4 linked regions of the Drosophila melanogaster genome follow. The protein of the gene in region 4 interacts with the protein of the main gene of each other region in a pairwise test. Each region holds a gene or a part of one and is shown on either strand. Other genes may lie near its edges.

Evidence for each region.
Region 1: the proteins of Zif (region 4) and achi interact in a two-hybrid assay, tested with the Drosophila melanogaster proteins (one large-scale study listed by BioGRID).
Region 2: the proteins of Zif (region 4) and CG9890 interact in a two-hybrid assay, tested with the Drosophila melanogaster proteins (one large-scale study listed by BioGRID).
Region 3: the proteins of Zif (region 4) and TM9SF2 interact in a two-hybrid assay, tested with the Drosophila melanogaster proteins (one large-scale study listed by BioGRID).

What each region holds. Positions count from the first base shown.
Region 1 is NT_033778.4:12,509,104-12,517,747, forward strand, and holds achi (achintya), read right to left. Parts: upstream 5,960-8,644; 5' UTR 5,673-5,959; intron 5,296-5,672; exon of another isoform or gene 5,241-5,295; intron 5,159-5,240; 5' UTR 5,142-5,158; coding exon 5,027-5,141; intron 4,959-5,026; coding exon 4,465-4,958; intron 4,406-4,464; coding exon 4,257-4,405; intron 4,157-4,256; coding exon 3,770-4,156; intron 3,681-3,769; coding exon 3,579-3,680; intron 3,520-3,578; coding exon 3,398-3,519; intron 3,332-3,397; coding exon 3,152-3,331; intron 3,087-3,151; coding exon 2,968-3,086; 3' UTR 2,431-2,967; downstream 1-2,430. Other genes in the region: vis (vismay), read right to left, coding at 1-367, 468-616, 763-1,163, 1,222-1,336; CG13151 (uncharacterized protein), read left to right, coding at 6,341-8,155; CG8818 (uncharacterized protein), read right to left, coding at 8,301-8,485, 8,538-8,644.
Region 2 is NT_033778.4:23,060,734-23,067,174, forward strand, and holds CG9890 (uncharacterized protein), read right to left. Parts: upstream 3,528-6,441; 5' UTR 3,489-3,527; coding exon 3,242-3,488; intron 3,188-3,241; coding exon 2,076-3,187; 3' UTR 2,014-2,075; downstream 1-2,013. Other genes in the region: Fatp2 (fatty acid transport protein 2), read left to right, coding at 1-524; DCTN3-p24 (dynactin 3, p24 subunit), read right to left, coding at 1,199-1,777; PPO3 (prophenoloxidase 3), read left to right, coding at 4,096-5,082, 5,147-5,242, 5,304-6,041, 6,104-6,334. UniProt on the Drosophila melanogaster protein: DNA binding protein which is involved in the positive regulation of both basal and inducible transcription.
Region 3 is NT_033779.5:20,728,658-20,737,714, reverse strand, and holds TM9SF2 (transmembrane 9 superfamily protein member 2), read left to right. Parts: upstream 1-3,405; 5' UTR 3,406-3,651; coding exon 3,652-3,789; intron 3,790-4,698; coding exon 4,699-4,893; intron 4,894-4,954; coding exon 4,955-5,937; intron 5,938-5,991; coding exon 5,992-6,151; intron 6,152-6,211; coding exon 6,212-6,715; 3' UTR 6,716-7,299; downstream 7,300-9,057. Other genes in the region: Fs(2)Ket (female sterile (2) ketel), read right to left, coding at 1-200, 269-1,297, 1,371-1,612, 2,285-2,342; CarT (carcinine transporter), read left to right, coding at 7,463-7,555, 7,614-7,838, 8,050-8,232, 8,381-8,639, 8,695-9,057.
Region 4 is NT_033777.3:6,453,220-6,460,241, reverse strand, and holds Zif (Zinc-finger protein), read right to left. Parts: upstream 3,155-7,022; 5' UTR 3,086-3,154; exon of another isoform or gene 3,026-3,085; 5' UTR 2,956-3,025; coding exon 2,812-2,955; intron 2,750-2,811; coding exon 2,133-2,749; intron 2,076-2,132; coding exon 1,941-2,075; intron 1,840-1,940; coding exon 1,569-1,839; 3' UTR 1,420-1,568; downstream 1-1,419. Other genes in the region: CG9727 (uncharacterized protein), read left to right, coding at 4,221-4,984, 5,048-5,290, 5,503-5,938, 5,994-7,022.

The sequences.
Region 1 (8,644 bases), on a different chromosome or scaffold from region 4:
GCCGTATGAATCCTTATAGCAGTACATGGTTTCTTGCTTATTCCCAGTCTTCTGCTTTGCTTGCTTGGCATTCTCCCTAGGACTCTTTGCAGCAACCGTCCGCGTTCTTACGCGCTTCGGAGGTCTTGGCTTTTCTTCGTCATCGAACTCTGGCGGCAGCTGGCCAAAAAGGCTGTATGGCAGTATGGATGTGGCAGGACTGGAGTTGGAGCTCGACCCACCAGCACCACCAGAGCCAACCGCCGAACCCCCAATGGCGGCAGCCTTGCGCATCTGATAGTTTTTAATTTTATCGATCATGGTTGCTTGAAGCGAGGAGTGAAGACTTTGAAAGCCCATCGGGTTGTTTGCAATGGCCTGCTGCCAGCTTGGAAGAGGAAAAGGAGTTTGGACGTAGGTGGGATGGGATAGGAGATAGAAGTGACTAACGCTAGGGAAGCAGGTCATAAAGACCGGTTACCAGTTACCTGTAGATGACACTGTCCTCGTACTCCGGCTCCATCTTGACCATTTGTCCGTTGGGGCCCTGCACATACTGTTCAAAGTTGGTCAGCACATTGGCGATGCCCTCGTGAATCTCACCGGCGCCATCCACCTCCTCTGTAGCGCCAACGACCTGGAGTCAAGCAATTTAGTAACTTCAGTGGTATAATGATTGACCAGAAGATAACACACCACTTCGGAAGCAGGACTTCCGTGTGCGGGATTCGGCCCAGTCAAGTTTGCGCCCAACGCACTTGATCTCGAACAGTTGGGGCTAACCTTTTTGCCACGTCGCGATATGGTGAAGTGCAGAGGATCGTTGCCCTCGCGCCTGATCATCTCGGGTAGAATGCGGCGACGGGCATTGATGAACCAGTTGCACACTTGGAGCACCGTCAGATTGGCCTCCTGGGACAGGGTGAACTTCTCCGCATCGCTCGGATAGGCGTTATAGCGGTGCTCATAAAGCCAACGCTTTAAAATCTTTACAGATGACTTGGGCAGATTTCCGCGACGTTTGCGCAGCGACCCATTAATGTCGACGTGGTGTTCACTGTCCACCATCATGTCGTGGTAGTTTTGCACCTGGTTGGCGCCTTGTTCGGTGCTCAGATCATTCCCAACGACGGCGTGAAGGGAATCCTGGTCCAAACTGGAGTCCGAGTGGAAACGGTCACGTCCTGGAGAAAAAAACGGCCATAAACAAGACTGATCTCAACCGGGATATAGGAAACTCACCCTCGTTGTTCAGCAGGCTCGCATGGACATGAGCCTCGTGCATCAGGTCCTTTATGTTCTGCCGTACATGGCGATCCAGGACCATGTTGACCTCCTCTTGTTCCGGCGAGATCATTGCAGCTCAGACTTAAGCTTCAGAAAACAGAAAATTCATTAAAACACAACCAGAATCGGTGTGCAAATATTGAAAGGAAAAGCACAGTAACTTTAATTACAATTTTTGCAAACAGAGAAAATTGACACTTTTTAGTTTCTTTAGGTGTTGTCACCACAGACTTTGAGATTCAACTAACTTTTCCCGAGGGCAGGCAAGTCATTCAGACACCAAAGTCATGGCCAACTAGGGTTCAAAAACAAATTTTTTCAATTGATTTTTAAAAATGGTTCTTTTCAATCGGTCTGCTTGTATCGAACGTATTAAAGTAAGTAATTAAGTACAGGAGAATTTTATAAATATTTAAAATTAATTAAGTTAGGGCCAACTATCGATAACTATCGCACAAACATTGCGCTTGCACACGAGAGACCATGAATATTTAGACAAATTCACTGCGCGCCCAAGTAACGGGCGTCTCGAAATGTACTTTTTACCTTATCCAAAATTTATAAAAATTTTGATTTGTAAAATTTAGACAAGCGCATTTATTTGGTCAAATGTAATATCATTTTGATTTCAGAAGATTTGTATGTTGGAGGTGCGATCGTCACTTGTTATACCCGTTACTCGTAGAGTAAAAAGGTATACTAGATTCGTTATAAAGTATGTAATAGCAGAGGGAAGCTTCTCCGACCATATAAAACACATATATTCTTGATCAGGATCAATACCCGAGTCGACCTGTCCGTCCGTCCGTCTGACTGTCCGTTCGTATGAAGTCAGGAACTATCACAAGTTTGTGGACCTATTTTGCCACGTCCACTCCAACGCTTTCAAACCGTACAAAATGCCACTCCCACACTTTTGAAAAATGAAAACTTTTTGCCACGCCCACTGTAACGCCCTAAAACAGCGCAAAACTCACGCCCTCATTTTTGAAAATTTTTGGATATTTCTTTTTTCCGAATTATCTATCAATACCCCAGAAAAATTATGAAATTTCTTGTTCACATTTTCACATATATGTACCGGGTATCTGATAGCCGGGGAACTCGAATATATCATTCTTTTTTTTTGTTCTATAGCTTTATAGTTAAAAATCGAATCATTTTGTTTTTGCGCCACTCTTTATTATCTGTGGTAACCAAAGTATTCCAATACATTTATAATATTTATAACAAAATTAATTTTGTCCTTCCACAAACGTTCTCATTTTATGTATGTATGTGTACATAATTACTAGATACCTTAAAAAAATGGCTCTATCAGCCAATTAGATAAAACACACCATCATTTTATGGCAATGTGTATTTCAAATGCTTGTTTATGTTTTATTTAAGTATCAGTAGTGTACATGTTAAGTTTAAAAGAGTCAGGTCCAAAACTAAGTCGATTTGTTTGTGAATTGACTTTGTGGAAAAAGGTATTTGGGCGGTCGCATTGCGAATTGATCTATAGCTTTGTACGTTATGTTAGTAACCTACTCAATTAACACAATAACATGGGGGTTATAGACAAATTTTTGGGTCTAGTGCTGTTCGATTAAATTACTTAAGTATATATATATATCTATATATACATATTTGTATATACACGCTTCGGCACTTTGGGAAGTCGGGATCTGTAGCGTGGGTATTTGGTTTGAGGCTCTAGTCTCCCATGTAAACGAAATCGTCATCCTGGACGTCATCGTTTTGGCGCACAGCCATGGCAGTTTCCACTAGATAATAGAGACACTTGTACTTGGCACGCTCATCTGGACTTGTGCCTAAAGCAAGATTATAAAATAATTAAAAATTCAATATAAAGTTGATAAAAATAGGTATAGGTTACCCTGCGACATAGCAGATAATTGACTCTGGCCAGCTTCTGCTTCGGCACCGGTAAACACCTCGTCCGCCTGTAGATTGTCACCAATGTCCTGTTGATTGGAGTTGGTAGGATCGATTGTCTGGATTTCTGAGGCCTGTATTCTATTCAGCTCGCTTTCAAAGTCAGTCAACTGTTGATTCACTTTAGGAGTAAAAGAGTTGGATATTACCAAAGAAACCGAGCTCTAAGTCTGCAAACTTCACTCACCGTCACGCTTCGCAGTCTGATTGCGATTCCAGATGGCGGTATTCTGAACAGATCCCTTAGAACCAGAGGTACCTGGATTATTGCCAGCCGAAGTGCTGACTTCCTCAGTACCAAATACAGTTCTGGAATTGCAGAGGCCGAGATTACAATATTTTCTTAATACATCCACATAGCTACTTACTTTATAACGCTCTGCCAATCATGGGAGGTCTCGAAGCGTACTTCCTCCTCGCTGTTCGGCCCACAGGACTCGTATCCCTGTGCACTCTCTTCGCCTTCGGACCTGGGGGTAAAAGTAAAATCTTAGCACCGCCACTCGCACTTGAGTAAGATTTAAGGCTCTGGATCAGTCAATGGGAGCAGAAGCTGTACCTAGGAGACACCACGATTCCGCCGTATGAATCCTTATAGCAGTACATGGTTTCTTGCTTATTCCCAGTCTTCTGCTTTGCTTGCTTGGCATTCTCCCTAGGACTCTTTGCAGCAACCGTCCGCGTTCTTACGCGCTTCGGAGGTCTTGGCTTTTCTTCGTCATCGAACTCTGGCGGCAGCTGGCCAAAAAGGCTGTATGGCAGTATTGATGTGGCAGGACTGGAGTTGGAGCTCGACCCACCAGCACCACCAGAGCCAACCGCCGAACCCCCAATGGCGGCAGCCTTGCGCATCTGATAGTTTTTAATTTTATCGATCATGGTTGCTTGAAGCGAGGAGTGAAGACTTTGAAAGCCCATCGGGTTGTTTGCAATGGCCTGCTGCCAGCTTGGAAGAGGAAAAGGAGTTTGGACATAGGTGGGATGGGATAGGAGATAGAAGTGACTAACGCTAGGGAAGCAGGTCATAAAGACCGGTTACCAGTTACCTGTAGATGACACTGTCCTCGTACTCCGGCTCCATCTTGACCATTTGTCCGTTGGGGCCCTGCACATACTGTTCAAAGTTGGTCAGCACATTGGCGATGCCCTCGTGAATCTCACCGGCGCCATCCACCTCCTCTGTAGCGCCAACGACCTGGAGTCAAGCAATTTAGTAACTTCAGTGGTATAATGATTGACCAGAAGATAACACACCACTTCGGAAGCAGGACTTCCGTGTGCGGGATTCGGCCCAGTCAAGTTTGCGCCCAACGCACTTGATCTCGAACAGTTGGGGCTAACCTTTTTGCCACGTCGCGATATGGTGAAGTGCAGAGGATCGTTGCCCTCGCGCCTGATCATCTCCGGTAGAATGCGGCGACGGGCATTGATGAACCAGTTGCACACTTGGAGCACCGTCAGATTGGCCTCCTGGGACAGGGTGAACTTCTCCGCATCGCTCGGATAGGCGTTATAGCGGTGCTCATAAAGCCAACGCTTTAAAATCTTTACAGAGGTCTTGGGAAGATTTCCACGACGTTTGCGCAGCGACCCATTTATGTCGATGTGGTGTTCACTGTCCACCATCATGTCGTGGTAGTTTTGCACCTGGTTGGCGCCGTGTTCGGTGCTCTGATCCTCCTCCACGATGACGTCAGCGTGAAGAGAATCCTGGTCCAAACTTGAGTCCGAGTGGAAACGGCCGCGTCCTGCAGATGACATGCAAAAAAAACGGGCATGAACAAGACCGAACTCGACCGAAATATAGCAAACTCACCTTCGTTCTCCAGCAGGCTCGCCTGGACATGAGCCTCGTGCATCATGTCCTGGATATTCTGCCGTACATGGCGATCCAGGACCATGTTGACCTCTTCTTGTTCCGGCGAGATCATTGCAGCTCAGACTTAAGCTTCAGAAAACAGAAAATTCATTAAAACACAACCAGAAACGGTATGCAAATATTGAAAGGAAAAGAACAGAACTTTAATTACAATTTTTTTTTTTTTACAAACAGAGAAACCTGTCACTTTTTAGTTTCTTTAGGTGTTGTCACCACAGACTTTGAGATTCAACTAACTTTTTCTGAGGGCAGGCGTCATTCAGACACCAAAGTCATGGCCAACTAAGGTTCAAATACGCATTTCAAATCGATTTTTGATTTCTTTCCAATCGGTCTACTTGCTAAATCGATTAATTTCCAAGGAACTATACATTAAACGAACGTATTACAGTAGTGAATTAAGTAAAGAAGAAATTTAAAAATATTTAAAACAAATTAAGTTGGGGCTATCTATCGATAACTATCGCACTGGCACACGAGAGACCATGACATATAACATGTCAAATTGACACTTTAACCAAAATATTTTGACAAATTCACTGCGCGCCCAAATAACGGGCGTCTTGAGCTCCCGGGGATTCACCTGCGATGTCCGAATGGGTGCCACTATCATTTATTTACACTAAACACTGGTTTTCCCAGTGTTTCAGCCAGGCCCCGGTTACTGCACTCAGCAAACTGTAGTGACGGGGCAGTCGTCACAACCGTAGTATCGAGGCCAATTAGACAAACTCTTTTTGCAGACAACGTAAATATAGTAACGAACGTTGGGGAAAGCTATTTTGGCACTGGTTTTAAAGCGTTTTATTCCTTTTCCTTGCTGCGTGCCAAACAACAAATTAGTGGCGAAAGAAATCCGATAGCCGCTTATGTGCGATAAATCATGGATGGGGGTCCACTGGGGAGTTAGTTCAGTTGGCAGGTTCATTTGAAATTTGAACAGTGGCGCCAAGAATAAATACAAGTTTTGTTAAGTATAATTTGTTTAAGAATTATAAACATACACTAGTTATCTCTACGCTGGAAATTAAATCTACATTTAAAATAAATAAGTTATATTTAGAATGTACATAATTTTTTCTAAATAGAACAAACTATTTTTTTTATAAGTTTTCAACCTTTCAAGCTTAAGATTTATGTTTTAAATGTCTTTTTCGATAACTATATAAATTATCGATATGTATAGACGTTACTGTCCTAACCTATCGACGACTGAAAAGGTTTGTTTTGTTGCAAGTTTATAAACAAACAATGGAATGCGTGCTGGACGAGGAGCTGCTGGCCAATATTAAATGTAGCGACCAGGAGGAAGAAGACGAGGATGGTGAAAAGATGGAGGTGGAGGAGCGGCTGCCGCCGGTCGATTCCACAGTCCAAAGTGCCTCCTTTAACGGAGATGACTCCGATCCGCTACAGGAAGCAGTATGCAATTTTCCCTGGATTTTCGAGGACAGCGACATGCTGATGAACGAGGACCAACTGGCTGACGTGGTGCTGAAGAAGGAGGATTCCGCCAGGCCAGCTGCCCCGAAGCGAGGACGTGGTCGTCCACCAAATAATAACGGAAACTACACATCTCCTTGTGGGCAGCTATGGAGCGTGACCAGGAGCCCAGATATTTCTGCAGAGGATCTACCCCTTTTGGGGCAACAGGCCTGTGGCAAGGGACCCGCCCGAACAGTGTCCAATGCAGTGGAAGCATGGATGCTGCTCTTCGATGATGAAATGCTGCGGTCTTTACTTCGCCATATCAATGAACAGATGCGTAAGCGGAGAACGGCCACAAGTGTCCAGAGACCCCTAGACGTTGTGGAGCTGCGGGCATTCTTGGGTCTAAGCTACCTTTGTGGAGTGTTCCGAAATGCCAGGCACAATGGGCCATTGGATGAGCTGTGGACCCTGGAGCTGGGCAATGCCATATTCCGAGCATCCATGTCGCTCGCTCGATTCGAAAGCATTTCCGAGTGTCTGGCGGGAAATTGCGGCTGGTCCGAGGGCCAAAAGCTCTGGCAGCGCCTTATAATCAATTGCAGATCCTACTACGGCTGCAGCAGTTGGTTGACCGTGGATGAGACATTCTGCGCGGTGGCCAAGTCACGGATGACCCTCTGCTGTGATGCCAGGACACTGTACATGGCCAATGCAGTGGTAAGCAGAAACCAGAGATGTCCGGACAAGGATGTAGAACAACTGATCTGCGATTTCAAGACCACGGGAAGAAATGTAACGCTGGGATCACGGTATCTAAACTTGACGCAGTGCGAGCAGTTGGCGCAGCGGCAAATAAGCTCGTTGGGTAAGCTGGAGGCCAATTCGCCACATTGGCCGCGGCAGTGGCCCACAGAATCACCCTTGTTTGGTGGCAGCTCAAAACTCATTCCGCTCGATGGCGACGCAGTCTTCTGCTGCGGTCTTAGCTCCCAAGTAGATGCAGTCCAGGCATATGAGCAAACCTCAGAAGCCTGTCAGCAGTTTTACGAACACTCCCAGCGCTTCAGCACAGCCCACGCTACGCCCGCACCCTTGAAAAAGCAGATCAATCCTTTTCTGCAACTACTTCACTTTGTGCTCAACGCGGCTGCCGTGAATGCATGGATCCTGTTACGACTTTCGCCCAAAGGCGATGCCGCTATGGATCAGCGCGACTTCCAGAGACAGTTGGGACTCTTCCTCACACAGCAGAGATTACAGCGACGCCTTCAGCGAAGATCCACCAGCACTTCGCTCGTGATGCGACTGCAAATCTGCGAAATCCTGGGCCAATCCAGTCAGCGGCTGCTCAGTGAGGCGACCGGCGAGGCGAAACTAACGCACAGCGTAGGCGTGCTAACACCCGACAAGATGAGCCTGCCCTTGGGCATTAATTTGGCTAGTCGGTACGGAGAGAAGCATCGCAGGTGCAAGCCCTGCGCTCGAAATAAGCGTGGCACTAAATCGCGGACGCGGTGCCAACAGTGCTTGCAACATCGATGCGGCAACCACTTGATATCCCGCTGCTACGAATGCGTCGGCATTTTGCCTGGCCAACTGCCCGAGGGCAACATGGTGGATGAAGGAGCCACCTGAAGATGGATATTAAATAACATTTATTGAAGAGACACTACATTCCTTGTGGGGGCTTGCAATATGGGGATGCTTGCAATATTGCTCAATGGTGCAAACACTTGTGCTGTAACTACGATGACAACGGCTTAACGATGGAAACTGGGGACTAGAACTTGTACTGGAAGGACTTGGGTGCCTTGTACTTGCTGGCCATTCCCGAAGAGTCCACAGGATCGCTCTGGTCGAGGAACAGACTGAGGAACTGTTCGTTCTGCAGCTCATTTAGCGGCATCTCTAATTCACTGCAGGATTTGACAATCTCAGCGCAGGCTCGCAGATCCTTGCGCATATCTAAAAACGAAACGGGAGTTACATAATATTCGGTTGTGTTGCACAGACTCACATTGATAGTTAAAGAGCAAGCTGAGGCAGCTGGAGCAGGCCAAACGCTGCTGGTGCTGCAAGAACGCCTCGATTAGCCGATGCACCGCATCAACATTGTTACGGGCC
Region 2 (6,441 bases), on a different chromosome or scaffold from region 4:
CCTCCAAGAAGGTGGTCCACGATGTCTTCTCCAAGGGCGACATGGCCTTCATCTCGGGCGATCTGCTGGTGGCCGATGAGCGGGGCTATCTGTACTTCAAAGATCGGACCGGCGACACTTTCCGCTGGAAGGGTGAGAATGTCTCCACCAGCGAGGTGGAGGCGCAGTTGAGTAATCTGGCTGGCTACAAGGATGTGATTGTGTACGGCGTAAGCATACCCAACACTGAGGGCAGAGCAGGAATGGCAGCCATCTACGATCCCACTCGGGAGGTCAACGTCAGCCAGCTGGGCGTGGAACTGGCCAAATCCCTGCCCAACTACGCCAGGCCGCAGTTTCTCAGATTCCTGCGCAAAATCGACCTGACGGGCACCTTCAAGTTGCGCAAGGTGGAGCTTCAGCAGCAGGGCTTCAATCCGGAGATCATCGACGATGAACTCTTCTACGCCCAACCGGATGGCGTGTATGCTCCACTCACCCCATCCGTATACGAGAGGATAGTTAGAAACGAGCTGCGATTCTAGGAGCGCCGGACTTTGTTCTTGGGAAGAAGAAAAGTCAAGACTGTGCCTTGTATGTTGGTGAAGAGGATATCCTTTGGATTCGGCTTGTGGTGCGCCAACTACTTTTAATTCTGGCTAAGTTTCTTATTGTCCGGACAATATAAACTTTAGCATTGGAAATTTACTGTTGAAAGAGCGTTTCCGCGGGTAAATTATTATTTTGTAACTATTTCCTTCTACAATTCCTACATACATAAGTGTCACATCGTATTGTATACATTGTATAGATAATAAAAATAAAATTCAGCCAATGATAAATCCATATTGTGCTCTATTATGTGATTATAGCATTTTCCTTCTGTAAGACAGGATTTTGATTGGTTTTCATTAGATTTGTAATTTAGTTTATTGTGCTTAGTTAAATAGTTTTTAAAAATGAAACTTACAATTGAAAGAGCATCATTAGCCACTTTACGTTGGAGTAGTTAGAAAATCTAATATCCCGGCTTCCTTAAACAGTTCCAATCAAATCGGGATGGCTTTAGCTACGATTACACTTTTCAATAGAACCTAGGTTACATCCATTGCTTGAGCAACTGATGCCTTCAGCTTAAGTGGAACCAGATTTTCAGGTGAACGGATTTGGAAACGGGGTCGTATAAAATACTTTCAGCAGTCTTTGGATCTATATCCGCTCAATCCTTGGGCGGCACATCCTTGCTCAACTCTGCACGCTTCCTCTGCTCCATGCGCTCCTCTACCTGGTCCAAGCGCTCGCTCATGGCATCCAGGGAGCTCAGCAGTCCCGCCTGGATCTCGCCATATCGCTTCATGGCCAGGACCAGACTCTCCTCGATAAGTTCGCTCTGCTGCGCGTACTCCCCGTTGTTCTGCGTTATGCCCTTTAGCTGCTCCAGACACTCGGCGGGAATGCTGCGGAAGTACTCCGCGCCCAGGGCCGGTTCCAGCTGCTTAATCCTCTCCAGCTGCTCGGCCTGCGTGTGCAGCTCGGGGGCCACGGCTTGCAGGTACACCTCCTTGGAGCGCACCTGCTGGTGCTCCTCCAGGAAGTTGGGGTCCAGGTACTTCTCCAGCTCGTCAGATCTCTTCACGCACTGCTGCAGTGCAGCACTTCCTGTGGTTGCTTCGCCCAGGATGGCGTGTGCCGAGCACAGGGCGTCGACCACGCCCTCGCCCACCTCAGAGTCCTGGACCGGACCCAGGACTCGTGTCAGGGCATCGATGCGCTTCTCCAGAATGTCCAGTGCCTCCATTTTTCGCTGAATTTCTCTTTATTTTGTTCGTTTTGATGGGAATGATGTCAGTCTGCAAAACAATCGATGTCCAACGAAAAGGTGGCAACGTTAGCTTGGTGGCAAGGTTCTTGTACTCGCTAAGCAGAACGAATTAACCCTTATGCGGACTAAAAAATATGGTATTTAAATAAAATATTTAGCTCCTCTGCATAAAGTTTTTGGTGCATACGTATCTATAAATATAGTACACACTTAAATTCCATTGCTATTTACTTAGTTTCTTTTAAACGTAAACTGTACAATACAAAAATCTCAGTTACAACAGCTTAAAATTCTCGAGGGACAACCGCTCCGCATCCTTGTTGATCTGCGCCAGACTATCCTCGGAGATGATGCGCACCGTATCGACGTCCGGGTCATCGCCTCCGGAATCATCCAGCACACACAGCAGACCATCGTTCTCGATGTACGGGAAGAAGAACTCGGGCTTGTCCCAGCTCTCCTTATCGCCGATTCCGTGGTGCGACTCTTGTGCCATGTGCTCCACGAGCAGCTCCTCCTCGTCGAACTGCAGATCGCAGGTCACGCAGCGCAGCAGGCACATTTGGCGGCGCAGGTAGTTGACCACCTTGACGCGTTGGTAGAAGTTCAGAGAGCTGGTGGCCTTCTCGAAATCCAAGCGATGAACCTCGTGCATGTGCTTCTTGAGGGCGGTGAAGTTGTCGCCGAGATGGTGGCAAAACAGGCACTTAATGGAGCTAGGCTCACCATCTGCCGCCCAATCCGACCAGTCCGAATCGTGTTCGCCATCCGAATCAGGGCGAGCGAAGTGCTTGTCGAAGTCCACGCTGCCGGTTTCAGGATCAGCAACTGTGGACACGGATGCCGTTTCCCGTCTTCGCTTTTGGAGGTGCTGTTTCCGGGGCGTGGGGGCCGTTGGTACACGATTGTAGTTGATAAGGAAGTACTTGTCGTACTCCCTTCGGTTCGGATTGATCCGCTTGTGGCCCTTCTTGCGCATGTGTTCCTTGAGCGTGGGCCGATCCCTGAAGATCTTCTCGCAGTAGAGGCACATTAACCGATTCAAGTTCTCCTCCAGGTGATCCAGCAGTTCGTCCACATACACCAGCTTCTCGGGCTTGCCGACCAACAGAAAGTGCTTGTCAAACAGATGGTCCAGATAGTCCGCCCTCAATCCCTTGATGATGGCCCTGCAGAAAAGGCACTCCTTGGAGAAGGTGCGGTCGGTTAGCTCGAACTGATGTCGCTCCAGGGCTTCACTTAGGCGCTTCTCCTTCAACCTTCGCCGCAGCTCGTAGTCCTGGGGCAGGATGTCACACAGCAGGTAGTACTTTTCGTTCTTGGCGTACTTGCCATCGGGCAGCTGATCCAGGAACATTGTGGTGCAATATTGCTCGAATTCGTGGGCTAAAATGGGTAACAATTATTAAATTTTCAGGGTAGGGTTGCTGATTCTCTCACTGTGAAACTCCTTTTCCCAGTACTGGAGGTAGTCCTCCAGAAGCGCTATATCCTCCACATCGGCGATGACCAGTCGGTGCTCCATATACAAATGCGCCAGGCAGTCATCTTTATCTGACGGAAATATGTACACCTTGTCGCATTTCAGGCACTTGATGGCCGTGTTCTTGGAGGGCTTGAGTTTCGAACTGCCAGTGATCTCCTCCAGCGAGGAATCCCCTCCTGAAACAGCCACCTCGTGCTCCATTTGTTTACGTTCTCCTGGTGCTCCACGAATAAGTGTGACCGCAGGTGCTTAGCGGCAAAATACTGTTTGCGAGATAAGCTTAATTATGACGTACACTGGAAACAATTGAAAATTTAATGAATTTAATTTAATGCACAAAAAAAATTAAATAAATACTTACAACTGTCTTATGAAGACTAAATAATCAAAAAATGATATTCAGTATTTTCGATGTAGACAACACGTACTGGAAATGTTAATATCCTTATAGGATATTATACGATTCAAATATTTGTAACTTATCTGTGAATTAAAATTCTGAAACTTACAAATACATTGTTCGTTAAGTTTTCAACAGACTATGATGAATCAGCAGCATCTTATCGGTTAAAAATGTTTTTTTCGGAACTCTGTGATTCAATGCTTATACTATGGCAATAGTTAAAAATTCTTAAGTTAGTAATATTTTAGATTGTTTTTTGGGGTTGACGAACTTGAGATGTTCGCCATGTAACCATAGGGCATTTCGGCTGCTGGGTATAAAAGGAGCTGATAGTTGGGTGGGGACGTGCAGTTGAGAATCAGCAACTGCTCGCTAAAGGTCCTCCTAATCGCGAATCCATCGAAAATGGCCGACAAGAAGAATCTGCTCCTTCTGTTCGATCATCCCACGGAGCCCGTGTTCATGGACAAGGGTGGCAATGGCACCGTCTTCGACGTGCCCGACTCCTACGTGACCGATCGCTACAATCAGATGTGCAAGAAGGTCCAGCGGCGCGTGAGCAGCGCGTCCGAGAAGAACGTTCAAGTCAAGGAGATCGCCATACCGGATCTCAGTTGCTCCATGAGACTGGGCCGCTCGGAGCAGTTCTCGATCTTCCTGAAGTCCCACCGCAAGATGGCCAGCCACCTGATCGAGATCTTCACCAAAATGCAGACCGTGGATGAGCTGCAGAGCGTGGCGGTGTACGCCAGGGATCGCGTCAATCCGGTGCTCTTCAACTACGCCTTGTCGGTGGCCCTGCTCCACCGTCCGGACACCAAGGACCTCGAACTGCCCGCCTTTGCGCAGACCTTCCCGGATCGCTTTATCGACTCGAAGATGCTTCGCAGCATGCGCGAGGAGTCCTTTGTGGTGGAGCGCTCCGCCGCCCGCCTGCCCGTCGTCAGTTCGGTCAAGTACACCGCCTCCGATCTCGATGTGGAGCACCGGCTGTGGTACTTCCGCGAGGACCTGGGCGTCAACCTGCACCACTGGCACTGGCATCTGGTCTATCCCATAGAGGCGCCCGACCGCAGCATCGTGGACAAGGACCGTCGTGGCGAGCTGTTCTACTATATGCACCAGCAGATCATTGCCCGCTACAATGCCGAGCGGCTGAGCAACCACATGGCCCGGGTGCAGCCGTTCAACAACCTGGACGAACCAATTGCCGAGGGCTACTTCCCCAAGATGGACTCGCTGGTGGCCAGTAGGGCGTATCCTCCGCGCTTCGATAACACCCGGCTGAGCGATGTGGACCGGCCTAACAACCAGTTGAGGGTTGGCATCGATGATATGAAGCGCTGGCGCGAACGCATCTACGAGGCCATCCATCAGGGCTACGTTTTGGATGTGAGTGGGGAGCTCTCCGATTCCAGGAGTACATGCATCCAACAACTAATTGGTTATTTTTTAGACGAACAATGAAAAGATCGTGCTGGATGACGCTAAGGGCATCGACATCCTGGGCAACATCATCGAGGCTTCCGATCTGACGCCCAACAGTACGCTGGTAAGGAATCTAAGTGATAATCTGTAGATCACCTTTCCATGTATATTATTTCCATCTGCAGTACGGCGACTTCCACAACATGGGGCACATACTGATTGCCTACTCACACGATCCGACCAACAAGCACCTGGAGTACGCGGGCGTGATGGGCGACGCCTCCACCGCGATGCGCGATCCGATCTTCTACAAGTGGCACGCCTTCATCGACAATATGTTCCAGGAGCACAAACGTCTGCTTTCTCCCTATGAGAAGCAAGAGCTCAGCTTTCCGGACGTTCGCGTCGAGAGCATCCAGGTGGAGAGCCAGGGTCAGGTCAACAGGCTGACCACCTTCTGGCAGGAGTCCGATGTGGACATGTCCCGTGGCCTTGATTTTGTGCCGCGCGGCCATGTCCTCGCTCGGTTCACCCATCTGCAGCACCACGAATTCAGCTACACCATCAAGGTGGAGAACTCCAGCGAGGCCACGCGGTATGGCTACGTGCGCATCTTCCTGGCGCCCAAGCTGGATGATCGCAATGCACCCATGCTGCTGGAGCAACAGCGCCTGATGATGGTGGAGCTGGACAAGTTCGTGGTTACCATGCCTCCCGGCAGCCATACGATCACCCGGAACTCCACGGAGTCGAGTGTCACCATTCCGTTCGAGCGCACCTTCCGCAACCTGGACAAGCTGGAGGAGCTGCAGAACTTCTTGTGCGGCTGCGGTTGGCCCCAGCACATGCTGATTCCGAAGGGTCGGCCCGAGGGTCTGCGCTTCGAGCTCTTCGTCATGGTTTCCAACTACGAAGAGGATAAGGTAAGGTGTCTTTAGAGTATACTGCGAATGCCTCCTGATCCCAATCCTCTTTCCTTGTGCAGGTTGACCAGACGGTCGCAGATTGCGGCTGCAGCATCGCCGCTTCCTACTGCGGCCTGCGCGATCGCCTCTATCCGGATCGCAAGTCCATGGGCTTCCCCTTCGATCGCAAGCCGCGTCGAGGCTCCGAGATCCTGGAGAACTTCCTGACGCCCAACATGTGCGCCGTGGAGGTCATCATTACCCACGAGGACCGCACCGAGAAGCTTCGCGAGGTACCAGCTCGCTCCTGAATAAGAGAAGCATCTTGTTATGGCCAGTTTCATTTTTTGGCTTAAAGAGAAGCCACTAATAACGGTCTATAGCTTTCTCGCTGTGTAGAAAATACCAAATAAATTAA
Region 3 (9,057 bases), on a different chromosome or scaffold from region 4:
TACTCAAAGTACGGGGACAGGGCGTACGTCTCCGGAGTCTCTCCGTCGTTGGTGACCGCTGCCTCCCAAGCTGCATCGGAAAGTCCAATGAAGGCCCAACACACGTTGGCTGCTACACGCGGCTCTGACTTTAGGCTCTTCACGAAGCACTCCAAAAGCGTTTGAAGATATGTCTCGTTGATAGCCGCCTCGGGAATTATCTGTCAGGAAAAAGCAGTAGAAGGTTAGTATGACAATATGAATCACCTTAAAAATCACCACTACGCACATCGCAAATACGTCCGAAGGTCCAGGCGATGGTATCGCGCACGATAACGCTGGAGTCGTACATCAGTCGAATGAGCGTGGGCATGGCTTGCTCCACGAGCGGCTTTAAGGTATTGGTCTCCAATCCATTCAGCACGGAGCCGAAAGTCATTACCGCTGCGTCGCGGAATCGCCAATTAGGTGACTCGATGTTCTCCTTGATGAAGGGAAGCACATGTGGCACGATCTCGTCCTCGCAACATGTGGCCAGCACCATGAGGCAAACGGAGGCGGCCTTCGCCGGGCTCCAGGTGTCCTCGTCATCGCACTCGTCCTGCTTGGTTAATTTCTCGACGAGCACAGGCGTCAGGAACTGCAGAGCACCTCGAGCATAGTGCTTGGACACTCTCTGCGGAGCGCGGCCCTGATCAGTGGCCTCCTGGCTTTCGATGGCCAGATCTATCTCCTCATCGCAGACGTTCGACCAGAACTCTATGCCCTGCAGCGCTACAGCATCGTTATCAGACTTCATGGCCGCCAAAGTAATAGGGAAAAGAGCCTGTGCCATGTAGGGCTCCATGTACTGGTAATAAAGGGTCATAATCTTCACCAGGCACTGCAGAGCGGCAACGCAGATTTGCGAGTCCTGGCACTGAGTGGCCTCGCACACCACCTCCATGATGAAGTTGCGCTCCATGTCTTTCTCAAAGTTCGATTTGGTGAACTCCAACGAGTTGTGAAGGGCCGTGGTGGCCGCCAAGCGTACATGATTGCTCGGCTCTACCTTTCTCATGCCGTGAATAATAGCAGTCAGCACATCGTTCGACTGGTTCTCCATGACGCCGAAACGAATGTCCTGGCAAATGTAGCCAATGGCCTCCAGCGCCGACTCGCGATGCATCTCGCTGGATCCTTCGCTGACCACCTTGTTCACCAGTGTCTGGATGAGCATGGGCCAGCGGTTTATCGGCAGCTCAATCACGGCCACATAGGCCACGCACTGGGCGGCGCAGGAGGGTCGGGTGTTCTCGGTACCCAAAGCAGCCAGGATCTGAAAGTAAGTCGCAGTTATTCAGTGCCAATTGTACAAGTCATATGTTTCAACATCAGCGTATGTAACTTACGTTATTCTTGATCAACTCGCGGATCTCGCTGGGAAACTGATGCCAGCGATCCTGGTACTGTTGGCTGACCTTCTCGTCCTTGCTGGTCAGGTGGTTCTTCAGCTGGAGACCGGCTGCCATTCGCGCCACCGCACTGTTGGCCGTGTTCACCAGTATCTCTGACAGCGCCTTGAGAAACTCGGGCAGGTTGCTGGCCGCCGCCTGCTCCAGAAAGTTCTTCGCCGATAGCAGCTCATTTTTGTCTGAAAATGCGTCATTTGGTTGGTTAGACATTTTTAATTTCCAATTATGTCAACGAAAGATTTTATTTGTGGGCCTACACACGCCCACCATTTTGGGTCGGCTTAAAGCTTTGGTATCAGGCCATTGAATTTTACAACAATTGACTTTTGGGAATGTGAAGGCAAGATAGGAACTTTTAGGCAAGGCGTATATAGTGAGAATATTGTTTAATAAGAATACAATAGATGGTGAAAGAAGTGTGTGCATATGAAGAGCTAAGCAGTAAGGTCTAGTAATGAATTGTAGCGGTGGAGCATAAAATCTTCAGGCAAGGGGCAAGTTTGCAGGCATTCCTTATCAGCAACCGGAAGAACTGGCCGCCAAGCATACGGTGGTGACTCCGAAGCGACGCCTCATCGATTCCTAGAGTTAGTGAGGTTATGTCGCAGGCGGTTCGTACATCCTTAATTGTAGGAGCGCAAGCATTGCGAATACATACAGACGCGCCGCCAAGTTTCCCTTGGAGTATGTACGTGGATGCACATGTGTGCGGAGGCCCCTAGCAACCAAACATATGCGAGCGCCTATTGCAACCCTGCGCAACATATAACGCGCGTCCCTCCCGCCAATCGAAGAAAAATCCATATTTTTCGGATCTATACACACACGTTTGTAGCAGTGGGGAAACTCACCTGGCGACACCGTCTTTTCCAAAATGGCAATCAATTGCATGGCGATATCGGAAGTCATGTCTTCGCTCTTTTCCTCTCTATATGATTTCTACTTCACTTTCCGTTTCTTTCTGCAGCTCGTGCGTCTGTGTGGGTGATGGAATTTTTGCGTAATTACTAGACAACACTAGTCTGTCGGCTGCAAATGGTGGAGACAAAAGAGTTAAAGTTATTGGGCTGCTCCGCTGAAGCTGGCGATTTTATTTCGACAGGTTGCAACACCTTGATTGTCAAAAGAATTGATTTTTTCGCACACACGCACACAACAAGCGCGTTCAGTAGAACTCTTCATTCTACTCACATTGTTGTTTGGTTATTTTTCGGGAACGGTAAAAAAGCGCGGGATTCCTAACGGCGATTTTCTTAGTTATTATTATAAGCCTATTTAATGGTGGCAGAACCTTTATCTGCTCTTCGGGAAGTGCAGGCAATATATTTCTTGTGTCTCCGATTTGAAATAGAGCTGAAACGAATGTCGATTTTTATTTGATAGCACTGAGTTTCGATGAAAAAGGCGACACCTATTCGATTGCTTTATTCGAACTATCGATAATTTTTAAATCTAATAACGTATTAATTAAATATTCTTAAATGCGTAGGAAATGTGCAACCATTTGACAAAATATATTATTAGTCAGGAACGATAAGACCAAAATACTTACTACTTGTATTAAAACGCGTTTGCCTCCCCAAAAATCAATCGTTAAATTTGAATGATTGTGCTTATCGAAAATTTTCATATTCAAAGATAAGCACGGAAGCAAAACCTCGAACGAACTAAATAATCGAATACTTTGACTTAAGAGTCGTAGGTAAAAAACTAACAAATGAACAAAATTTGATTACTATATTAAGAAACAGTGGATAAAAATAGTAATATCTTAGAAGTATCACACGTATACGTGTGTATATTGGTTGCATTCGCTTACTGAACAGGGGAATTAATTAATTTAAATATAAAAGTTTATTAAGTCTACCAAATTTCGTTTTGCACGTAATAATAATAAGAGCTAAAGGTTTTCGCGGTAATATTTAGCTTTGCAAATGCTGGTAGTTTTTTTGTCAGCCAGTTGGCAGCCCTCTCAGCTGTACTAGGTGGCAACGCTGCTACAGTGCTGACGTTCGGCAAAAAAGAGGAAACGTAGTAAAAACACTCGAAAAACTCCGTATATTCCGATAAATATCCAGATAGTACGGTTTGTGCGTGGCCCGCCGATCCGGAAAGTGTGGCAGAGAATCGCGGACACGGCCACGTTGTGATTACAACCCGTACAAGTAAAGGAAGAAGGTCTGCTACTCCTGCCGTTCGTTGGTTACCCCAATTCGAGATGATCCTGCTATCCGGACTTCTGCCGCTCCTGGGCGTCGTTCTCTTGCACCTTGCGACCCCGACACAGGCCTTCTATCTGCCCGGACTGGCACCGGTCAATTTCTGCAAGAAAACCGACGTCTCATCCACATGCAAGGTAGGTGTATACGTATGTGCAGAAGTGCAGATGTACATATGTACGTAGATAGTGGGTGTGTTTGCCCCACGCCCGCCACAATTAGCAAAGGCACTGGAACTAGTTATGTACATTGGTTCTATATTCCTCTAATGGTGGTCACAGGCGGAAGCACTGATAAGCGCAGTAACTAGTTATATGTGGGGTCCATATGTGGCCCTCTATCTCAACTTCTGCTGACGTTGCCTACGCCAGCTCTCTTTCCTAGCGACAGCTAGATGGGAGTTCTAATGTTGGTTCAGCTGGCTCGCGAATGCGATTTCGGGGGCTCCCGACCTTAAGAATCTTAACATAGTGGCGGCTAACCAATAATTGAACCAGGGAACGCGGTTAGCTTGTCATGCTTCCTTGCATTATGTTTGGGTTATTTTCTTTTTAGTAATAATAGTATAACACAATAACAATATAAATTCAGGACAAAGTATAATTTTTAGTTTGATATCCCAAATAGATGGGGTTAGCCCTTTTAAAAGATGACCTAACTATTGGATGATAAAGCGTGAGCTATTGGTTTTGTTTGCTTCATCTTATCTTTAAACAAATCTAAACAACTTTTTAATATACCCGTAGGTCAAGAAATCCTAATCGGTTTATACGCCCTTAAATTAGACGTTGCCCAATGATAAGAATTAATTAAGGTGTTTCACATTCAATTGTTTCTAACAATCTAAGAGAGCTTTTTGATAAGATAAATTTCTAAGAACCCAAAGTAAAAGCAAATTACGGGGTCAAATTATCGAACGCATTTGCAAACTTTTGGAATTTTTACCAAACTTTAATAATTATTTCCACGATAAGATTAAAATACACTAGTATTATCAACAGTTGTCAATCCAATTGATTGATCTAATTCCTGATTATCTTCTTCAGTCGGAAATCTTGTTGTACGTCAACCGCTTAAACACTGAGGAATCCGTAATACCCTATGAGTACCATCACTTCGACTTTTGTTTGGGCGAGGAGCAGAACTCACCGGTGGAGAATCTGGGACAGGTTGTGTTCGGAGAGCGAATTCGTCCAGGACCCTATAAAATTCAGTTCTTGGAAAACCAGCAATGTGCGACCGTAAGATTAAACAGTTTTAACGCATTACCAACATAATGATTTAATGACTCTTCGTATTTAGACCTGTGTCAAGACTTACAAAGGAGACGATCCGGCTAGCAACCGTCGTATGATGGTTCTTAAGAAAGGAATCAGCTTGAACTACCAACATCATTGGATTGTGGACAACATGCCGGTTACATGGTGCTACCCACTGGAGAACGGCAAGCAATACTGCGGAATTGGTTTTCCCATGGGTTGTCTAGTTCGCAGTGATGGCGAGGGTTGTCCCATCAACTCTATATATAACCAGCCAATGCATTATTATCCATTCAACCATGTGGATCTCGAGATTACTTATCACAGTGGACAGTCGGAGGACTGGGGAATTCAGTTCGGCAACAGTGGACGCATAATCTCTGTAAAAGTGACTCCCAAATCTATTAAGCACACCGATAAGGAAAACCCCAATTGCTTGAGCACAGAGCCACTGGCAATCAGTGAGAACTCTTTAAAGGCTGGAGAACAGCTGGAAATTGTCTACACGTACAGCGTGAAGTTTGTAAAGAACGATTCTATCAAATGGTCATCACGTTGGGACTACATTTTGGAATCCATGCCGCACACGAATATCCAGTGGTTCTCCATTCTCAACTCCCTGGTTATTGTCCTTTTCCTGAGTGGCATGGTGGCAATGATAATGCTGCGTACGTTGCACAAAGATATAGCCCGCTATAATCAGATGGATAGCGGTGAGGATGCCCAGGAGGAGTTTGGCTGGAAACTGGTACATGGTGATGTGTTCAGGCCGCCGCGGAAGGGCATGCTGTTGTCGGTATTCCTGGGTTCGGGTGTACAGGTGCTTGTGATGGCCATGATCACCTTAGCATTTGCCTGCCTGGGATTCTTGTCCCCAGCCAATCGGGGAGCCCTGATGACCTGTTCCATGGTCTTGTTTGTTTCGTTGGGTACACCGGCTGGTTACGTGTCTGCGCGTATCTACAAGAGTTTCGGTGGGCTGAAATGGAAGAGTAATGTCATCCTTACCTCGATCGTTTGCCCTGGGTAAGTTCTTTGAAATTAAAGCGATATTATTATTTAATCGTTTTTCTTTTTTAGTGTGGTCTTCTCATTGTTCTTCGTCATGAACCTGGTGCTGTGGGGGGAAAATAGCTCCGGAGCTGTGCCATTTAGCACGCTAATTGCTCTGCTTGCCTTGTGGTTTGGCGTCTCTGTGCCACTAACCTTTGTAGGAGCTTACTTTGGATTCCGCAAGCGCGTGAGTATATATTTAGCTAGTTTTTAAAATGGTTCCTTACATTTGTCTGTACGATTTCAGGCATTGGAGCACCCTGTGCGTACCAACCAGATTCCCCGTCAGATTCCGGACCAATCGATCTACACACAGCCTATTCCTGGAATCGTTATGGGCGGCGTTCTACCCTTTGGCTGCATCTTCATTCAGCTGTTCTTTATCCTGAGCTCGCTGTGGTCCAGCCAGATTTACTACATGTTCGGTTTTCTGTTCCTGGTCTTTGTCATATTGGTCATCACATGCTCGGAGACCACCATTCTGCTGTGCTACTTTCACTTGTGTGCGGAGGACTATCACTGGTGGTGGCGCTCCTTCCTGACGTCCGGCTTCACAGCAGTCTATCTGTTCATATACTGCTGCCACTACTTCGTCACAAAGCTTTCGATCAAGGACAGTGCCTCGACGTTCCTGTATTTCGGCTACACGGCCATTATGGTATTCCTGTTCTTCTTGCTGACCGGCACCATCGGGTTCTTCGCGTGCTTTTGGTTCATACGTAAGATCTACAGTGTTGTCAAGGTGGATTAAACCGCATAATTCAAGAAGGAGCTCGTGCGAATGTATTTTTGTATGTGTAGCCACAAATTTACACTTAAGCCTAATGTGTGTGTGATTTCTGCGCTGTGCGCCCGGCACAGACAGTTTTCTGTTTACTATAATTACGATTGATATGTGTATAATAACATATGTTTGTATCAGGCAAGGAACAGTGGAGTAACGAAGCGCGCAATAATTTTTAAGCAGTAAACAGCGAACGAGTTGGAGTTAAAACGACTTGAAGCATCTTTTGTATAGCTCTTCGTTCTGTTAATCTTTAGGCGTAAAATTTAGCATTGTCCATTTCCCAGCTCTAGCAACGATTCCAAGAAAAGAAGAAATTATCAAGAAAAAAAAAACTAAAATCCCTTTAAATGTACTGAGCTGCATAACGAAGTACTTTAAACCCCGTTCTCTACTTGTAATATCAAAGCCTAACAACTGTAATTAGTGGCTCGTCTTAGCCGTAATTCGAGCAGGATTGAATTCACGTGTAATATTTTAAATACTTTAGTTTAAACTATTTAAATCTAACTTGCGACTAAAGAATAAACAAAAATATAAATTACGAATCGAGCCCACTGCGACAAACTTTTTACTATCAACAGAACCAGCTCATTCTTTCAACCCTAGACAACTGACAGTTGTCAGTGGTTGCTTCTATGGCTTCCGTGAGCTGAGCCAATCGGGCAGTGTGAGTAAACATTTCCAGCTCAGAGCTTGTCTAGAGGCGCATCCATGTCAGATATTGAGGACAACGATGGGGACGAATACGATGAACTTTCGGAGCTGCGACAACGCCACAAGCCCGAATCCCAGCCCTCGGTGGATGTGCATATCTGTGAGACACGGTCCTTGATCTTCTCTAGATTTGCTGTTTTCTTTCCAGGAGGCCTTCGATCTGGACGACCTTCTGCCCACCATTGGCGAATTCGGCAAATACCAGAAGCTCTTGGTTTTCGGAATTTGCCTGCCCGCCTGCATACCGTGCGGTTTTTGTGCGTTTAACCAGTTGTTTATGGCTGATACTCCGGATGACTATTGGTGTCGCATCCCGGAGCTACTCGACTTGCCCCTGGAGCAGCGAAAATCGCTGTCCATACCCAAGGAACTGGTGAGTAATTGCAGCCATACGAGTGCCGAGGCTAAGGCAATCAAGTCAGCCCATTGATTGTGCGTTGCTTAAGGTGAAGGGTCGATACGAGGGTGGTTCGATGAGTAATCGAAGGGGCTAACAATGAAATGGGGGAGAGGTAAACCTTATATTCTATGCCTTCTATTATTTAAATATATTTTGAAATAACTGATGAAATAATTATTTCAAGGATAACGACGAACTGGTCTACAGCAAATGTTATACCTACGGAGTCAACTGGACGCAGCTCCTTGAATCGGGGGAAGAGGATGACCTGACGACCATGGAGCCGAATGCCAGTTGGCCACTGATCAAGTGCCCCCAGGGATGGGAGTACAACACAAGCGTCGTCTGGTCCTCCATTGTGATTGATGTGCGCAATCCAGACCACCAAGCCTTCATTTGAAACTACAACGTCATTCATGTAGGAGTTGCTCGAATCATTTCCCAAGCATCAGTACTACCTTTACCTAGGAGCGAAGGATTGGCTTACTATAAACCATTAAATCCTCCTATTTCAGTTCGATCTAGTGTGCGATCAGGATATTTATCCTACGATTGGATTGGCTGCTCTTAATACTGGCGGTCCAGTGGGAGTCTATCTTTTCGGATTACTCAATGATCGTGGTGGACGAAGGCTCTCCTATTTCGTCTGTTTGGCCACTTTGCTGGCTGGCAGCCTAATGACTTCGCTGAGCAAGGATTTTTGGACTTGGGCCGGCAGTCGAGTCATCGTAGGACTGACCATTCCAGCTGTCTACCAGATACCATTTATAATATGTGGGTATTTCATTGTTGCTTCTAACTTTAACCATTAACTTTTCTGCGTCTGCAGCTCTGGAACTGGTGGGTGAAAACTATCGATCCTTCGTGACTGTGATGACGTGCACCTTTTACACTTCGGGCATCATGCTCCTGTCCGGCGTCACTTATCTGGAGCGGGATTGGGTGCGCCTCTCCTACATCACATCCCTGCCGTTTTACGCCTATTTCCTGTACATGTTCGTCATGCCGGAATCACCGAGATGGCTTTTGATGCGCGGTCGCCTGGAGGAGGCTCTCAAGATTCTGGAGCGCATGGCAAAGGTCAATGGCAGAGAGTTTCCCGAGGCTGTGCATCTCAAGCTGGAGGCTCAGATACGACGGGATAAGCTCAAGAAGCAAAAGAAAAAGATGGCCAATGTGGGGCTAGCAGATC
Region 4 (7,022 bases):
AACTTCCTCCTTAGCCACTTGGCATTGACACAAAAACTGGAAAACCAAATTATACAATTTAAAAACATACTGTCATTTTGTACTTCTTATGAATTGTTATCTTATCTCTGTGATTTTTTTGGAATCAGGCATAACTCTTTGGCAAAGTATGCTTTTGAAATGCTTACAATAGTTTGTCAACCGGTCAGGCAGTTTCTTAAATTATTTGTTAATACTTTTGCTTTTACTTAAGCCTTAGCTTAACGCACAAAGTTCTTCGACTTTTCACCTGCTTCGTAAGCAAGAAGTCGTTGGGATTTTCCAACGCGGAATTTGCAATTCAGCTCGTAAACTTGCTGATTTGTTTGCCACAAAAAAGGTGGCGGGACTTGCGTGATGAGTCAAGTCCCGACTTTCCCACTCGATTTCCACAAATGCAAAGTCAGGGCCAGGTCAAGGACGGAGGTGAGCTCCTGAAAAGGGTTTTTTTTTTTTTTGGCTGGTGCGGGGGAAATAAATTTGCAATTGATAGCCTGGACTGGCTCGTAATCAGTTTAAAAGGGCCGAATCTCAATTTGGCAATTGAGTTTGGATGGCTGCGGCTGTGGCTCGACGTTCACACCCATAATCCAATCGTTTGAAGCGCTTTTATGGATTCGACATGTCAAATCGCGTGCAAATTTGTTAGAATTGGTTTTCCCAAGCTTCCACATTCCGCAATCTCGCCACTAGGAAAAATATCATAGCAGCTTCAAAAGGAAAAATATTGGATACCATTTTGAATTTTAGAAATTTGTCATGATTATAAATATCACAGAAAATAAGTTTTAAACTCCTTTTCTAAACCAAATTTTGGAATAAATAATATGACTAGCGCCTTGGTTACCTATTTTGAATTATTGTACCCAGCTTTGCTTGCAGTGTATCACCACCCGTAATCAAATACAAAGCCCCAGGGGCCGAAAGGCTTTACCAGTCCATAAGAACATTTTTTGTTTCCGCTAAAATGATGATATGATACACGGGGGAGTTCAAAAAAGGAGACAAGCGGCCAATGAAAAAAAAAAACGCATTCAAGTCATGTAATTTCGGAACTTCCTTTGATATTGTACATTTGTTGGTGCTTTGCATGCGCTAGGTGCAAATTGGGTTTTTTCCAATTTCATTTTATATACCCACGGCGTCATGAAGCCACCCATATTTATTGCATAATTTTCAGCATAGCTTCCCGCGCACACACATTGCGAACATTGATTGTGGAAATAACTACGGCCAGTTGTGACTTTTACCAACTAGCGTACAACTAGATTGCCAGATTTTCTCGGGCGTGTTACATTTCAAATTGTATTGTATTGTATTGTATGTATTCAAATTATCAAATAAATTAATTTTATGAACCAAATTCCACATGCTGCTAAAACATCACATACGTTTGATATTCTATTTTTAACAAAAATAACCTTTATTTACGTATGAAGTTCATTCTTACAACTATGAATACGCTATCCGTTAGCGTTTAAGCTAGTATTACTGATTATAAGGGATTATATCTGGAAATAAGACAGTATACTCTACTGAATTTGATTGCGTCAGTGAGCTTGAATTCGGATCTCGTTCCCGCCCCCCTGCTCGGCCACCATTTCCACCTTCATGCTCTCGGCCAGCATTACGGCGTTCTGGTGCAGTTTGGTCTCCTCGTGCTGGCGCATGTGATGCAGCAGACGGAAGTCCTTGTTGCAATAATCGCAGCGGTACAGTTTGATGTCCGAGTGGATGAGCTCGTGCTTGGTCAGGGAGTGAGCGTAGGCAAACGCTTTGTCGCACACCTTGCACACGTAGGGCTTGATGCCACGGTGAACACTGATCGGAAAAAGAAAAGTTAGTTATCTCTGTCCCGAACTAGGAATATATTTAAATGGCCCATTTTGAGGCCTCTCCGTGAGAATAACATTTCTACTCACTTTTCATGAGACTTGAGAACACTTTCGTAGAAGAATTGACGACTGCAGAAGCTGCACTTATAGGGTTTGCTGCCCGTGTGGGAGTACATGTGCTTCCTCAGTTGCTCGCGCACCTGGAACTTGGCATCGCATAGTCTGTGAAGGCGGGATTAGGGTTATCGCTTTAATATGAAATTTACCGACTCGACTTACTCGCATGCATATTGGCAGATGCCGTCATGGCGTCTGCGATGCTCCATCATCCGGCCGCGCTTTTCGTAAAAGTTTCCGCAGACGTCGCAGATATAGCCACCCTTCTCAGTGCCGTCCGATGTTGTTAGGGAGTTTAATCCGCGACGAACCCGGCCGCGCCGCGCCTTCAGGCTTGCCTTGGCCGCCTCCTGCAGCGCCAACTGCTGCGATGGTGTCTCTTCGTACTGCTTCTCAGACTCCAGGACGATCTCGGTCTGATCGGAGTTCATCTCGATGGTGTAGTTGTCCTCCAAGTACTCGATGGTGTCGCCAATGCACTCCTGCTGATCGCTGGTGTCCACTTCCAAGTACTCCTCGTGCCCCTTTTCTTCCTGGTGCTCCTCTTCCCCGGTGGTGGTCTCCTCCAGGATGTACATCTCCTCGTCGCATTGCTGCTGCGAGCCGTCCTCCTCCTTGATCATCATCACATCTGATTCGTCCAGCAAGCCCAGTTCCCGGCAGTACTCCTCAATCTCCATCTGCTTGCGCAGCGCCTTCTCGCGAAACTGGTAGGCCATGTTGAGTTCGACCTTGCAGGACTTGCAGATGCCATCGGGTATGTGTTCTCTGTCGTTCAGCTGCATGAGGGATGGATGGATGAATGGTCAGTTCGCATTGCCAGCTCTAGCGATTCACTTACATTGCTGTATGAGACTCCCAAAAGTTGAATCAACATCTCGTTCGGCGATTCCTCGCCTTCCTCGCGGATCTCGTCTAGGCGCTGCAGTCGCTCACTCTGCGCCAGGCAGACCCGGCACGTCTGTGGGGTAAGCTCGACGCGCATTCTGGAATCCTGCTCGAAATTTAATTTAAAGAACCGCTCGCGTAGTATTGTAGTGTTAAAATTTGTGTTGCTAAAGTGTTGTGTAAAGCGACTGAAAAAAGAAACGAAAAGACATCGCCATTTTCCTTACCAGGGCTGCATAGCATCGGCGAACACGATGTGGTTCATTTTGCTGGTTCCGGGAAGCGGATTTTTGGTTAAATATCTGATAAACATGTTTGCTGCTTGTGACAATACATTGGAAATATTTGTTCCTTTAACCATGGCTAAACGATATGATATGATAACTGAAAGTATTCCCCAGTGTGCCTATAAACACAAACAACTTGTAAAATGAGAAAGAAAATATTAATACTTCAAATATTCAAATATTATGAAAACAATTATATATATATTTATATATTTCTTTCATATTTACGTATATTTAGATAGAGTAAAGAATTCAATCATAAAAATACCAACGTCTTACATTAAATATTATTTAAAAAAAGGCCTAATGCGCTTAAATTTGCCTTATCAATAGAAAATATTATGTCCAATACTGACAATACATCTCACCAAAGATTTAATTTAGCTAGGAACCAGTTCTCTATGGCTCATTTTTTTGACCAGTGGCGATAACGATGACAGCAAGATCACTAAAAGACTAGCGTTGCATGTTTATCATATACAAGCTAACATTGCGTAAGGTGAATCTGCAAATTATATACAAATTATTAGTAATTTACTCATTTATTTATGCGAAATCGCAAATACAACACCGTGTTTACATCCGAAAGCTCTGGCAAAAAAAGCACATTTCTTAATGCAGCCGTCTGGCAACGCCACATATTTTTCGAGACGCAGAACGCAAGATATTTTCTTATCTCTCGTTAAAAAATGGATTATTTCGGTTCAATCGGTGCGTATCTGGGAAAATCGCATGCTCGTTGGCAGTAAAGAACGCCACGCACTTTCACGTCCCACGCCCAGCGCACTCCCGCCTGACGGGAAAATGGGAAAGCAACTATATCTGGCATCCGTATCTTCGTCCGTCGCAGCCGTCAAAATGTTCGTCGCGCCAGTTATCGACTCGGCAATCTCCATCTCCTAAGGCACACACACACTCAATAGAACGCAGTCCAGCACTCACACAGGCAGCCACCTACGTAACCTGGCAGCGGAAGCGCCCTTAATCTTGGCCAGAAACCACAGCAGGCAGAAAACAACGAGGGAGCAGCAGCAGGCGGAGGGAAACGGAGGCGCCGCTAGCACTAGCACCTAACATGTCCGAGAAGCACGGCCAGCTGGGTGCGCAGTGGACGAAATCAGCGGCGCCAGCAGCAACAACAGCACCAGTCTCCAATTCCATTCCCATACCTCAACCGATCCCTGTGGCACTACCCCTCCAGAAACCCAACGCCAATCCCTATGGGAACTGCAGCCTACAGCCCGCGGATATAGTCTACAGCGCAACCAGATTTCAAGGACCTGCTATCCATGCAAAGGGCTCTCCTTTGACCATTACGCCCGTGGGCCCTGTCGGCGGAGCACCTGCCTCTGCCCAGATCTCGCCCACGAGTCACACCCATGTACCTGTACCTGTAGCCACGCCCAGCGGCTTTGTGCCGCCTCCGTTTTCCAATGCCACCAGCGCCAGTGGAGGTGTCTCCACTTCCGTACTTACTCCGAATCCCTTTGCCACGGCGAGTGCAAATGCTGCTGGCCTGGCCTTTGCCAATGCCTTCAGCTTTAGCACAGCCCAGCAACTGGGTCTGGGCAAGATCATGCACGCTATGGGCGGAGCTACTGCGGGAGTGCCATCGGCGCCAGTACCAGTCACCACGACTCCAGCGACAGCTGCTCCTTCGACCCCAACAATAGCTGGTCCACGGCATCCGAACGAGGGCGTTCCAGCGGCCAGTGGAGTGATAAACTCCACCATTGCTGAAAACGTAATGAATGCTTTGAGCAACTCCAACTCAGCGGGATCAGTTCCCAGTGAGGAGAAGATGAGAAGGGTGCTGCAGGTGATTGAGACCAGCTTGGAGTAAGTGTTGTTTGAAGAATCCTATGTTTATCCTTGCTAATTTGTGTGCGTCTTCCCGTTCAGCGACAATGCGAAGCTGCAGATTTCACAGATTCTAGAGCGTGTCTCGGGACTAAAGCCCATTGAGAAGCTATTCCTCTATCTTCGTTTGCCTGGCGAATGCGCAGACACCGATCCGTTGAGGCAGCCACAAAATCCACTAGGAACGCGCTCGGAGATTAACCATACCATTAATTGGGTGCGTTCCCATCTGGAGCACGATGCACAGGTCTCCATACCAAAACAGGATGTGTACAATGATTACATGTGAGTTCTTTTCATTCTTATTCAAAGCATTATTGAAACTAAGACGGTAACAGTGAAAATGTATTTCATTCATTTTTCGCTTGAGAAGTCTAAATATGTATTGTATATACAAAAATGCTGCAAATCAGTTGAATAATCATACTATTACTAGCATTTTTTTTTTAGCATAGCCCTAAAATTAATAATTGGTTTATTTCACCATTCATTTATAGAGCTTATTGCGAACGCCTCAGCATCAAACCTCTGTCCACAGCAGACTTCGGCAAGGTGATGAAGCAGGTATTTCCGGGCGTTCGTCCTCGGAGATTAGGGACGCGTGGAAACTCTCGCTATTGTTATGCGGCAATGCGGAAAACCACCAAGCTGACGCCCCCGCAACTGCCGCAGCTGTGCAAGACGGAGCAGATCGTAGCGGGTGATTCCAATTCGGACCCGAGTCAGCTAACTAGTGCCTCCAGTTTGGGTGGCTTACCATCGACAGGAGGTGACTCTGAGTGCTGGGATGTGGTGCGCAGTTGGGCAGAAAAATTGCTAAACACTAAGCTAGAGAGCGTTGCGGATCTAAGCTCCCGTATCAAGAGCAACAATGCAACAGTTTCTACAAAAAAATACACTCCTCGGGAGCCCAAGGAAAAGCGAGTTTTAGCAGTAAGTATTAAAATATTCCCTAATTAGAGAGTCCTAATGCAGTATTCTTTAACAGGACATTGGACCTTTGAAAAAGCGGCGCAAAAAGAAACGCAAGGGATCCACGTCCTCGGAGTCCAGCTGCAATCAATTGGTAACTGGCCAAGACGCGGGTAGCAGCCAGGAGGCCAGCGACGAACAGATACTGAAGATCAAGCAGGAGATCATCGACTCACCCATTCATCCCCAGCAGCCTCCAATAGGTTATCTACAGCAGGTAACGCCCATGAACCTAGCCACAGATCAGCGAAGCAGTAGCGCTGTCCGCAACCTCACGCCCAAAATCCTGGAGATGGGCTCGCCGGCCGTAGTACTCACCCAGCAGGAGGTATCCCCCACGGGCATCGTCATAAAAGATGAGGTGGAGGACTACACCTCTAATATTTTCTGCAAGAAGGTTTTGAAGGCGCAGCAGACAAAGGGATTCTGGGCGAATTCTCCAAGCAGTGGGACAACGAGCGGTGTTGGTTTACTGGTTCCACCTACGATCACTACAACCTCGGCCACACCGCCACCGCCAAACTCTGAGACATCCCCGGTTCCGGGACCTGGACTTTCCATGGGCCCACCCTCACAGATGATGAGCACCAGTTCGGTGAGTCCGTCGAGCACTGTGGACACCACACCTAAAGTGGCCTCCCGAAACCAAATGATGATTCTGAGAGCCAAGCGTTTGATGGCAGCGGAAAATGCCGCTTTGGCAGCCGCCGAAGACTCTGGATTGCCTGAGAATCTGGGACTGCCCAGGGAGCGAGTGATAAGCATCTGTAACATGGACAAGCATGAGCTGGATGACTACTTTCTACCAGGCGAGGACGAGGAGAACTCCGAGGAGCCCGACAACGAGCTGCTCCAATATTTTCAGATGGGAGACGCTGAGGAAAAACAACTGAATTCCTTGGATGCTGCCGAACAGAACAAGAATCCACAAGAGCCACCGACGATGGGCTCTGCACCGGAGGCGATGCCCGCCCCCGGACGCGGAGCAGCAGTCGTCGCCGCTGCAGCAGCGATGCTGGCGCCGGTGCCGGCACCTTCGATGTTG